Canis lupus familiaris: one gene and its partners. The protein of the gene in region 1 interacts with the protein of each later gene in a pairwise test. Links are inferred from orthologs where the notes say so. Each region holds a gene or a part of one and is shown on either strand. Other genes may lie near its edges.

Region 1 (3,746 bases):
GGCCTCAGTTTACCCACTTGTGAACGTTGAACCTATGATTTCCCAGGCATCCAGCCCCAGGGTACCTGACCCGGGCCAGGTGGCGCTCTGCGGGAGGGGAGTGGCCACCAGTGGAGTCACATGGGGCGGGGCCTGCGGGACCCGCTGCGGAAGCTTGGGAGGGTGTTTGGGCCTCAGACCCAAGCTACTGCGTGGGGGAGGGGGTTCCTAGGAGCCAGCACCAGGTGGGTGGGTGCCCCTGCCTCCGCGCCCTCCTATTGCTGGATGATCCCGCCATCCTCTGCGGGCGAAACTGAGTCACGGCGGGGGTGCGTGGGGAGAGGTTCCAGGGGTTTTAACCACACAGGAACCTGGAGTCCCATCCGCACCCAGGGGCAGCGCCGCACCCTCACCCCTGCCCCCGCCCCCACCCCCACCCCCACCCCCAGGCAGTGAGTCAGCGGCCGGCCGCGCCCCCTCGGCCCACTTCCTCCTCACCTTCCTGGGGCGGGCGGGGGGCGGCGAGAGGGATGGGGCCCTCCCCGCCCACCCCCCCCTGTGCTGGGGAAAGGGGTTCATCCCTTAGTCACCTTTCATATATTAGCAGAGAAGAGAGACGCTGGGGGTAGCATTTAAGGTATCATTTAAGGGGGAAAATTTGAGAGAATCTATGCTTAACCAGAGGATCGTCTTCGCGCCCACCCCCCAAATTGAGCAGAACGTGAAGAAATGGAGAAGTCGTTGGGGAGGGTGAGCAGGAATTGTCCCCATTAAGATCCTCCTAAGAATTTCCATCGTAGGAGCGAATGAGCGATCAGGAAGGATCCCTTGCCCTCCACCAGACCTACCCCCTAATTTGGGGGTGACCCTCAGCGTGCATCCCCATTTCTCTAACGTTGGGGAAGAGGTAAATAGCGGAAGTGTAGGGTTCCGCGTTGCCCTTTTAAGCGCCCTTCACCCCCCCCACCGCCTAGAGGTGTCCGCGGCCCCTTTAAGGCGCAGGGCATTGTGGGTGCGGGGAGTGGAATTTTGGAACGAAATGTAGCGAAGAGAAGTACAGTAGTAAGAGTAACATTGTACCCGCCGCCGGCCGAGGGGGCGCGCCGGGGACGGGACGCCGCACCCCCTTTCTGCCGCAGGGACCCCCGATCAAACCTCCAGAGGGAGGAGGCGCCTGAGGACCCGCCCCGGCCCCGTCCACGTTCCCCCCCAGGAAGCCGGACTCTATGGGGCGGGACCCTGGGGGAGACTGAGCAGAACCTGGAGCCAGCCCCGAACCCCTGAACCTTGAGCCAGGGGCGCCCCGGGAGCACCCACCCGTGGGTGCGCCGCCCTCCCGCTGAGCAGCCATGAGGTGAGCCTCGAACTGCCTCCAAACCCTTCCGCGCTCCGCGCGGGCTCCCCGCCCCGCCTTTGTCCCCCTCCCCCAGCTGGAATTTGGGGACAGGGCACTGGGGGCCTCGGATTTGAGGCCGAGCCCCCTTGGACGAGTTCCAAATACTGACCGCTTCGCCATGACTCCTAAGGCTCGGGTGGTGCCTCAGAGGTTCTCTCGGAAGCCCTCAGATTTGGGGGCGCCCCGAGGACTCCCGAATTTCTTAAAGACTTTTTCAGAGAACCTCCAAGTTGCCAGATCCTGCCAGCATGGAGGCCAGAATTAAGGCAGGGCTCAGACTACCCCCCCAAAAATCTCAACTCGGGCTCCGGGAGGGATTGAGGGGACCGGGTTGGGGGTTCCTGGGACCTGGAAGAGAGATTCGGGACGTAGACCTTGGTTTGCCGGGTCTGCTTTTACGTGGCGCTGGAAAAAGCCTTCCCAAGTGGGACCTCGCTTCTTAACTTCGGGGGCACTTAACCCCTTAAATTTCGGGGGGCTCTCGTCCTCCGGTGGAGGTGAGTGCAGACGAACCCACGGACCCGGACAGCCTCGAGGGTCTGGTTGGGACTCCCCTCCCCCGCCGCTCCCCACCCACCTTCTGTTTAAAACAAGCGGTGCCTAGGACGGAGCTCCAGGGCTCGGCGCGGAGGGCGGCTCCCCGGCCCGGGGCCAGGAGGGCGGCCCCGCGCCCCCACCTGTGCGTCCTGGGGAGGGAGGGGGCGCGGCAGCTGCGGGAAGAGGGGCCTTTGTCTTCCTGACTCACCTGTCGAGACAGCTGGTGTTGGGGGGGCGGGCAAGGAGTGCAGTGGGCCGGCTGCTTTCCCCACCACGCGCCGCCCCTTGCTCTCACCACCGCCCCCCTACCCGGCCCTCCAGAGCCGTGGGGTGGGGGGGGGGGCGCTGTAAAAAGCTTCAAGGTCATAGCCCTCTCCCCCTGGGACCCAGGCTCCCAAGACAGTCCCAGACACCTTCCCAGGAATTTAATCCTGGGGTTGGGGGGCCCAGAGGACCCAGGGATTTTTGTCTTACCGGGTCGGACCTCAGAACTCCTGGGCTCACCTGAGGGCGGGGCCGGGGCGGGCTGGGAGACCGGAGTAGACCCTCCCCCACTCTCCCCTCCCCCTGGCCCCCCATAATCTCTCCCTTGGGGCCCGAGCCTGACAATACTATCTCCCTTCCTCCACTCTCTCAGGGACTTCCTGCCCCCAAAGCCCCCAGCTTGAGGGGGAGGCCCCCCGAGGAGGACTGGGGATTAACCCCCTGGTGCCCACATCCTCCCACTACCCCCACACGCCCCTGCCCTCTGACATCAAGAGTCGCATTGCCCTTTAGGACCATTAGAGACCCCCTCCGCCTGTGTTCCTTCTGATGTGAAAGTGTTGGAGCATTTTGGAGTGAGGGGGCACCCACGGACACCCACCCTCGAGGTCTCCCGCCTACCTACCCCCCATTATAGCCACATCCCTCCGAGGCCTGCCCCGGAGAGGGGGCATTTTGGGGGGAGCCAGGCTCTCTTCCCTCACCCTCTTCCCAGGGGACCCTCCTCTCCCACGGCTGCCCCCCCGCCCCGCCCCCCGCCCCCCCTCGCGTTTCCGGTCCCAGGCACCGTGGAAGGCGGATGGCGGATGTCCGAGTTAGTGCTGCCTCACTCACTGTGAGACCGTAAAAGGGCAGGAGCAGTGTCTGGGCCGGCCTCCCGCCCCCCCTCCCCCAGGCCCGGAGGCCTTCGCCCTCCCACAGGGTCCCCCTACTGTTGGCCGCGGCCAAAGCTCCCACCTCCTGGGGGGTGGGGGGGCGGTGGGCAGGGGTTGAACTGCTGGGCCTCCCACCGGAGGGTCACTCGCACCTCCCCAGGGGGTCTTCCCTGCTGATGGCCACGCCCAACTCGCTGCGCCCCCTCTTCCAGGACCTCTAGGATTCCAAAAGACCCCTGCCCCTGCATGAGGGCAGCCAGGGAAACTGAGGCTCGCCCTAGATCCCTCAGGCAGTGTTGAGGGAGGGGAGGGGACTGGGATCCTGCGACTTGACTTCTGTCTGCTTTGGCTGGGCGAAGAGAGGATGTTAAAATGGAAAGTTACAAGATATAGTTCTTTTTCTCCCAGTTTGACAAATATTTGTTAAGTGTCTGCTGTGTGCGAGACTCAGCTGGGATTCTGGGAAGGCTCAGAGAGGGGGCAGAGGTCTGAGAATCTCAGGGCAGAGGGCTGCAAGCGGTATTTAGGTCCATTTCTTTCCTCTTCCAGGAATGGTAATTATTATTACCTTACAAAGTTGTTGTTTTTTAAATAATAATAAGAGACCATCTGATCAAACATGTGCTCTGTGCCAGGCACTGTATTATTCTGACTGCCCCACCTCCATGGGTCAACTGAGACACAGAAAAATTAAG
Region 2 (3,646 bases), on another chromosome or scaffold:
AGACACTGGCTTACTTGGTGGGAGAATTGAATCTTTGTACTCTCTGAGAGTGAGTGAACAAAATTGCCTTAGTACAGGGAAATGAGGTTGGGGATGAAAGAACAGCAATACTCATCAAAACCCTAACAGCAGAGAAGCGATACTTAAGGAAAAACTGAAATTGGTAGCTGGGTTATGTTAAAACATTTTCCTATCTCTGAATACAAATTGTATTTCACTACTGGCAACTCTTTGAATTTATTGTGCCGAAATTTGCTAATCACACAATACATACGCTCTTCTTTTTGTAGGCGGCACTCCCCCTATCGCACACTGGAGCCAGTGCGTCCTCCAGTGGTACCAAATGATTACGTACCTAGCCCAACCCGTAATATGGCTCCCTCGCAGCAGAGCCCTGTGAGGACAGCTTCTGTGAATCAAAGAAATCGAACTTACAGGTATTTTCTCTACCTCAGTGCAAAATGTGATGGTCATAGTACCATAATTTGTTCAGATTACTTCAGTTAAATCTCTCTCATTTTCCAAGCACTAAGTTCTTTTCCTCACTCTACTCTCCCAAACCTCATCTGATTCTGCCTCTCTCTCCTCATGTTCTGATGCAGCTTTGAGGTCAGGAAGTTGGAAAAAAAATAATAAACCCAGAAAAAACAGACATCTTAAAAATACAAACTTCTCTAAAAAATTAATAGTTGTAGTTGACCTGAAAGAAAGTTATGGACCAGATGTGGGGAAAAAAGTTATGGATTAGATGTGGGAAATTGCAAGTTGTTTTTTGGTGGAACTTTACAGATGAAAAACTATACATGGTAAAACATTAATATGAAATGGTACACCAAGATATCATAAATAAAATTAATCAAATAACCTGTTTAGGAAAACTGTGTTTTTTATTATAAAACAAGTTTCTTCAGGCAGTAAAAGTAATACTATTTTTGTGTGTTGAGTCCTGTCACTTACCACTTATATTTCTACAGAATTTTTCCTTCTTTCTCAATTTCACTTTCTTTAATAGATGCTTATTAAAAGGTAGTCAGAATGAATTTCTTGAACTCATGTTTTTTTCCTGTTTTACTCAGAAATTAATACATGAAATGGAGGGCTTTTGAATAATCTTTGTTTAGCTATATTCATTTCAGAAAATTTTGGGAAGTGCTGGTGGTATCTTATATAAATACTCATGTTTTGGTGGCTCTTATTTCTTTAGCAGCAGTGGGAGTAGTGGAGGAAGTCACCCAAGTAGTCGGAGCAGCAGTCGGGAGAACAGTGGAAGTGGGAGTGTGGGTGTTCCCATTGCTGTTCCTACTCCCTCTCCTCCCAGTGTCTTTCCAGGTAAAACATGAATGGTGCCTCATCTTTACTTGTCTTTTTTGAATTTGAATTCAATTTCCAATTTAATAATGATGGGCTTTCTTCATAATGAAGATTTTTTTTCCTTTAGGACTCCATAAATGTTGGGAAATCTTTATGCATTTGTTATTTTTAACCAAGTGATTTCTGAATTTATGCTCACATACCTCTGTTATTTGGCTTTGTCTTTGGTGCAGTGGCTCAGTTGGTGCTTTGAGGTTTCAGGTACCTCCTGGGTATGAGTTATATGTTTAACTCCAGCGTTATGACATTGCGTGCATTTGGACACAGTGTGAGAATCACATAGGTAAAAAAAGGACTGGACAAATTTAAAAGTAGTTTTGGCAGTTAAATTTAGTGGACTCTTGGAACTTAATACTCTGAAATGCTACCTTTTTTTTTCTGAAACAGAAAAATGTGCTTATTTAATTTATTTATTCATCAAAGTTGAACTTTAGTTTTAAAAGTGTGACACAAAAGACCTAGGGATAGACTTTTTTGTATTTAATTTACTTATACCAAATAGATAATAATTTTTTTATAATAATATTTTTAAAATCATGAAAAAGATTTTTCTGATTTTTTTTTACCTAATGTTTTTGTCTAGAATATGTTTATTTTCTGATTTTTGTGTTTCAAAATGGAATACTGTTTCCTAATGTATTATGTTTAGTTTTGTATACTGTTTACAAAATACTATGCTAAAAATTATAATATAAAAGGTACAATACAGTAGAAAAGTTACTTTTCTTAGAGTAGTGGCTTTCAGGTAAAACGGAATGCTGTTTTTAATGAATTAAAAAATCTGTACATTGCCCTGAGCATTTTGAATTATTTGCTGCAAACCTAATTATCCTTTAATATAAGCTTCATTTTTTTCCCTATTCTCTTCTTTTCTTTGGTTAGTGTTAAGCGCTGAATATTTAACATTAGGTTCTCTAATGCTTTTTCTAATCCTGCCTAATGGGTCTGCCTCATTAATGCCGCCTCTTACTCCTCTTTCCCCTCAGCCCCCGCTGGCTCTGCTGGTACTCCTCCCCTTCCTGCTACTTCTGCATCTGCCCCTGCCCCTCTTGTTCCTGCTACTGTCCCTTCCTCCACTGCCCCAGACGCTGCTGCTGGGGGGGCCCAGACCCTTGCTGATGGCTTCACTTCTCCAACTCCCCCTGTTGTTTCTTCCACTCCCCCTACAGGTGAGTATGGCTTGTTCTTTGGCAGGCACATCCAGTCATCTGGCTCTTTTATCTGGAACTCTGGCTTTATGACTTTTGTTTGTGCTGTGTGTGTGTATAAAATCTGAAGAATAACAGACTAACTAGAAAATGGCATGTGACCAAGAATAGAATTTCCTGAGGAAATCAGGGTAAAGTTCACATGCTTTTTTCCAGTAGAGTAACACAAATACACATTTTTTTAATGCTTGAATTTCATTTATTGGAGTTCTGTGAATTTAATATGGAGCCATCTTCTTACAGTTTTGAGACGTTGTTGTTAGAAATATTGTTACAGATTAAGACTTTAACAGAGAAAAGTCTATGGAAATAATATGGAAATAATTATAAGGTATATTTTATAGGAAATATCTGATAAAACAGTTTAGAAGTCTCTATTATAGCAGCACTGAAAACATATGGACAATGGACTTTTTAAAAAGATTTTATTTATTCATGAGAGACACACAGAGAGAGGCAAATACATAGGCAGAGGGAGAAATAGGCTCCCTTTGGGGAGCCTGATGCAGGACTTGATCCCAGGACACTGGGATCACGCCCTGAGCTGAAGGCAGGTGCTCAACCACTGAGCCACCCAGGCGTCCCTAGATAATGGACTTTTAAAGAATTTCATGTTTAGTTAAATGTTACTTAAGGTTAACTGGTGTTTCAGTGTTTTAAAATAGCAACCTAAAATCCGTTTTGATGGGGAGGGGGAAGAAGATTCAGTTGCTACAAAATGTATTTGCAAAGTTAATAGTGATGCTGGTTAGTAAACAAATTCTTTATCTATTAACAAAAATGTGTATGTTTGGACACACATCACCTTAGCTTGCCAAATATTTCATAGATTACATATTTAGCTCTGCAGCTATAACCAGATGTTTAAATGTGTTAAAGGATACTTTTAGCTAAAATGGATTTTGGATGGTGTTTTATGGGATAGTGTCTGTAATAGCACTTTAATATTTTTTTTGTTTTTATTTCTTTATGAGAGAGTGAGAGCACGAGTGGGATGAGAGGCAGAGGCAGAAGCAGACTCTCTTGCTGAACAGGGAGCCCTGACATGGGACTGGATGCCGGAGTCA
Region 3 (3,746 bases), on another chromosome or scaffold:
TAGCCCCCATCCCCCTACTTGCACCCCTCCACGAGGACCCCCGTGCACTTCAAAGGAGGAAACAGAAAGAACCCACCATTCTGAAGCTGTGATAAATGCTCAGGCCACGTGACACTGTATAATGCTGTTTGGATTCAAACACTGAGACTCCGCAGTGACACAGTGATTCGTCTGCAGCTAGTTACTGAACTGTAGGCGCTGAGCAATAGGCAACCCTGCCTGACCTGCCTCAAACCTTGCGAAAGCTCGGCCAGGTGCGAGAGCCCCGTGACAGCACCGCTTTGGGAGGCAGGGAGGGTGAAGAGGGGAGACAGGCACGTTCACACCGTTAGGTTCACACCACGCCCGGAGAAGCCTCTGGGCCGAGCCTGATTTTTAAGCGGGAAATGAAGAGTTAGAGATTTTTTTTTTAGCTACCATACTGAGCCTTTATTTACATCGGTCACCTAGCTGCAATCTCATGGCAACACTAAGAAATCGGTATTCTTAATTCCCCTCTTAGACCTCAGGCAGTGAGGGTGAAAGGAGCAAAGAGGCCCTTCCTGGGGGCTTTTCCGCCCGGGGCTGCAGGCTCCCGGGATGGGGAGCGCCGGGGCCGGGCGGTACAAAACCCCGGGCCCGGGGGAGGCTCGGGCCCAGGCAGGCTGCGGGCAGCGGAAGGGAAGGAGGGGTCTGGCGGGCGCGCGGCCCTCGCCCGCGGTACAGGTCGGCGCGGGGACCAGGGCTGGAAGCCAAACGCAGACGGTTGGCGAGCAGCCCCGGCCCCCTCCGTGGGCCTGCTCGCTGCGGGGAGGGCTTTCTCACGCCCCCTGCTCTTGGGAGACGGCGCCGGAGGTCGGAAGGAAGCGGGGCGAGGGATGAGTCATCCCGCCTAATTCCTCCTTCCCGGTCCCTCGCCTCCGCACGCCGCCCCCTCCCGAGATCCTGCAGCCGGGAGCGGAGACGCTCCTCCTTAGCGTCGGCTACCAAAGCCCCCGTGGCCTGCGGAAGAGAGGAGAGGGACGGGGCGCGCGGCCAATCAGAGCCTCGCCCTCTCGCCGCCAGCCAATGGGCCGCGGCTTACGGGGCAGGGCGGGACCAGAGGGGGGCGGTCCGCGGCTGGCGCGCCGCGTCGCGGGTCCGCGGCTGAGAGAGAGAGAGCGGCTCGCGGGGAGAGCGCCTGGCGGGGATCGGCGCCTGATCGACGCGGGAAGGCGCAGCCGCCGCCGCCGCCGCCGCCGCCGCCGCCGCCGCCGCCGCCGCTGGCCAAGGTGCTGGAGACGACAGGCCGGTCGGCCGCCTCGCCCGCTCAGGCACCGTTGCAGCCGCCGCTGCTTCGCTCCCAGCCCGGTCCTCATGGAAGAGATGGAAGAAGAGTTAAAATGCCCCGTGTGCGGCTCCTTCTATCGGGAGCCCATCATCTTGCCCTGCTCTCACAATTTATGTCAAGCGTGCGCCCGCAACATCCTGGTGCAGACCCCGGAGTCTGAATCCCCCCAGAGCCGCAGGGCCTCGGGCTCCGGGGTCTCCGACTATGACTATCTGGACCTGGACAAGATGAGCCTGTACAGCGAGGCGGACAGCGGCTATGGCTCCTACGGGGGTTTCGCCAGTGCCCCCACTACTCCGTGCCAGAAGTCCCCCAATGGCGTCCGCGTGTTCCCCCCGGCTATGCCGCCACCGGCCACCCACCTGTCACCGGCCTTGGCCCCGGTGCCCCGCAACTCCTGTATCACCTGCCCCCAGTGCCACCGCAGCCTCATACTGGATGACCGGGGGCTCCGCGGCTTCCCCAAGAACCGCGTCCTGGAAGGGGTAATTGACCGCTACCAGCAGAGCAAAGCCGCAGCCCTCAAGTGCCAGCTCTGCGAGAAGGCGCCCAAGGAGGCCACTGTCATGTGCGAACAGTGCGATGTCTTCTACTGTGATCCGTGCCGCCTGCGCTGCCACCCTCCCCGAGGGCCCCTAGCCAAACACCGTCTGGTGCCCCCGGCCCAGGGCCGCGTGAGCCGGCGGCTGAGCCCGCGCAAGGTCTCCACCTGCACAGACCACGAGCTGGAGAATCACAGCATGTACTGCGTGCAGTGCAAGATGCCCGTGTGTTACCAGTGCTTGGAGGAGGGCAAACATTCCAGCCACGAAGTCAAAGCTCTGGGGGCCATGTGGAAACTGCACAAGGTGAGTCCTACGAAAACCCACCCCTGACTCCCCGCGCCCCCGATCCTCCGGCTTTGCAGCAGAAGGTCCCCTTTCTGCGCACCGTGCATCCCAGCGGGGGCGCAATGCAGGTTCTCCTGTATCTGCTTCCCCCGTCTGGTGCACTGCAGAAGCGCAGGAGGACCTGAAACCGAGCGCAGGGGAGTTGAATATCCCCGGAGAGTTGTTGCGGGGACGCCTTAGAACGGGTCTCCCGGGTGCCCTCTCTGCCGCGGAGGCGCAGCCTGCGGCCGCCGCCAACGAGCCCGAAAGCGCTGCGTAACTGGGCAGAGGCGCGCCGCGCGGGGGGGGCTGCCAGGAGAGCTCCGGGGCAGATCCGGCTGCGGTCCTCGGAGACCAAGTGGGGGCGGTGGGGAGGCTCAGAACAGCCAAGGCTGGAGCTGCGGGATTGGCGGGCTCTGGGATTCGCGGCGGGGGCGGGGAGAACTCCGCGGGTGGAATACTGATGAGTCCTCGCTGGAGCAGATGCAGGACCGGGTGTTTTGCCCCAGGAGACCCGGGAGTGGTGTGGCGCGGGGGCGGCGGGGTGGGGGTCGAATCCTGTGGTCGCCACGGCAACAAAGCTGCGGGTCCTGACCGCCCCTGGAGCTAGGGACCTGCGGCTGAAGTAGCGGGACCAGAGGTCTCTGCGTCTAGGCCTGAAAGCTAGGCAGATGCGTAACCCAGGGTAACCCCATCCTCCCAACCACCACACAGGCATTTTGTCCAGGAGTCAACCCTTTCCCCCTTTCAGTAGTCGTCTTTGCAAGCTTTGAGGCACCTGTTACCACCAGACTTACCTTTCTTGTCTCTTTGGACGGTGCCCCCACCAAAGCTAGCTTCAAGAAGGGTCCTTTAACAACGTTTAGGTTTAGGTATGCCACTTCTCTGCTCAAAACCCTCCAATCGTCCCCCACATTTCTTAGAGAGTCCCTAGAATGGTCCACCAGGACCTGCTTGACCTGTTCACATTTGGCCTCATGGACCTCATTTCCTCCCCAGCTACACTGTCCCTCAAAGAACATCAGACAGCTTCGGGCCCCGGACCTTTGCGTTTGATGTTCCTTCAGCCTGGGACAGTCTTACCCAAAACCCTATCTTCCAACGGCTCACTCTCTTGCTTCCTTCAGATTGTTGCTCAGATGTTACCTTTGCAGTGAAACCCTTCTAAATACAGTTGCTGCCACTAGCCTCAGACACTGCTAGCTGGCATGCTATATATTTTCACTGTTACTTTCGTATTTATCTATTGCTTCCTTCTGCACACACGAGAAAGTAAGCTTTGTGAGGAAAAAGATGTTTATAATAATGTTAAGCCACCCTGCTTAGAAAGAAGGAGATGTGTATAAATTTCACTTTTAATTTTTAAATAATTTGCTTGGTTGGGATGCAAAGGGTAGGGCAGGAGTTCGGGATTATTGTAGGGAGATTTTCATATCATTGAGCTGCAAGCCCAAGGATCAGGCAGGGGAGTAAAGATGGTGTCCAGGCCTCAACTATGTCCCACTCAGGGTTTCCTAGCATTTCTTGGAGACTAGAAGGGCTAGCCTTTGAGAGAGACCATGGGGTTA

What was found.
Region 2: the proteins of VASP (region 1) and ABI2 interact in binary tests that used the Homo sapiens proteins (3 or more experiments, as listed by UniProt). The link is inferred for Canis lupus familiaris from reciprocal best matches to the Homo sapiens genes VASP and ABI2.
Region 3: the proteins of VASP (region 1) and TRIM9 interact in binary tests that used the Homo sapiens proteins (3 or more experiments, as listed by UniProt). The two-hybrid records come from large-scale screens. The link is inferred for Canis lupus familiaris from reciprocal best matches to the Homo sapiens genes VASP and TRIM9.

The regions. Positions count from the first base shown.
Region 1 is NC_049222.1:110,772,284-110,776,029, reverse strand, and holds the start of VASP (vasodilator-stimulated phosphoprotein), read left to right. Parts: upstream 1-1,283; 5' UTR 1,284-1,328; coding exon 1,329-1,333; intron 1,334-3,746. UniProt on the Homo sapiens protein: Ena/VASP proteins are actin-associated proteins involved in a range of processes dependent on cytoskeleton remodeling and cell polarity such as axon guidance, lamellipodial and filopodial dynamics, platelet activation and cell migration.
Region 2 is NC_049258.1:12,103,272-12,106,917, forward strand, and holds part of ABI2 (abl interactor 2), read left to right. Parts: intron 1-290; coding exon 291-437; intron 438-1,204; coding exon 1,205-1,329; intron 1,330-2,357; coding exon 2,358-2,540; intron 2,541-3,646. UniProt on the Homo sapiens protein: Regulator of actin cytoskeleton dynamics underlying cell motility and adhesion. Functions as a component of the WAVE complex, which activates actin nucleating machinery Arp2/3 to drive lamellipodia formation.
Region 3 is NC_049229.1:27,693,790-27,697,535, reverse strand, and holds the start of TRIM9 (E3 ubiquitin-protein ligase TRIM9), read left to right. Parts: upstream 1-1,149; 5' UTR 1,150-1,335; coding exon 1,336-2,157; intron 2,158-3,746. UniProt on the Homo sapiens protein: E3 ubiquitin-protein ligase which ubiquitinates itself in cooperation with an E2 enzyme UBE2D2/UBC4 and serves as a targeting signal for proteasomal degradation.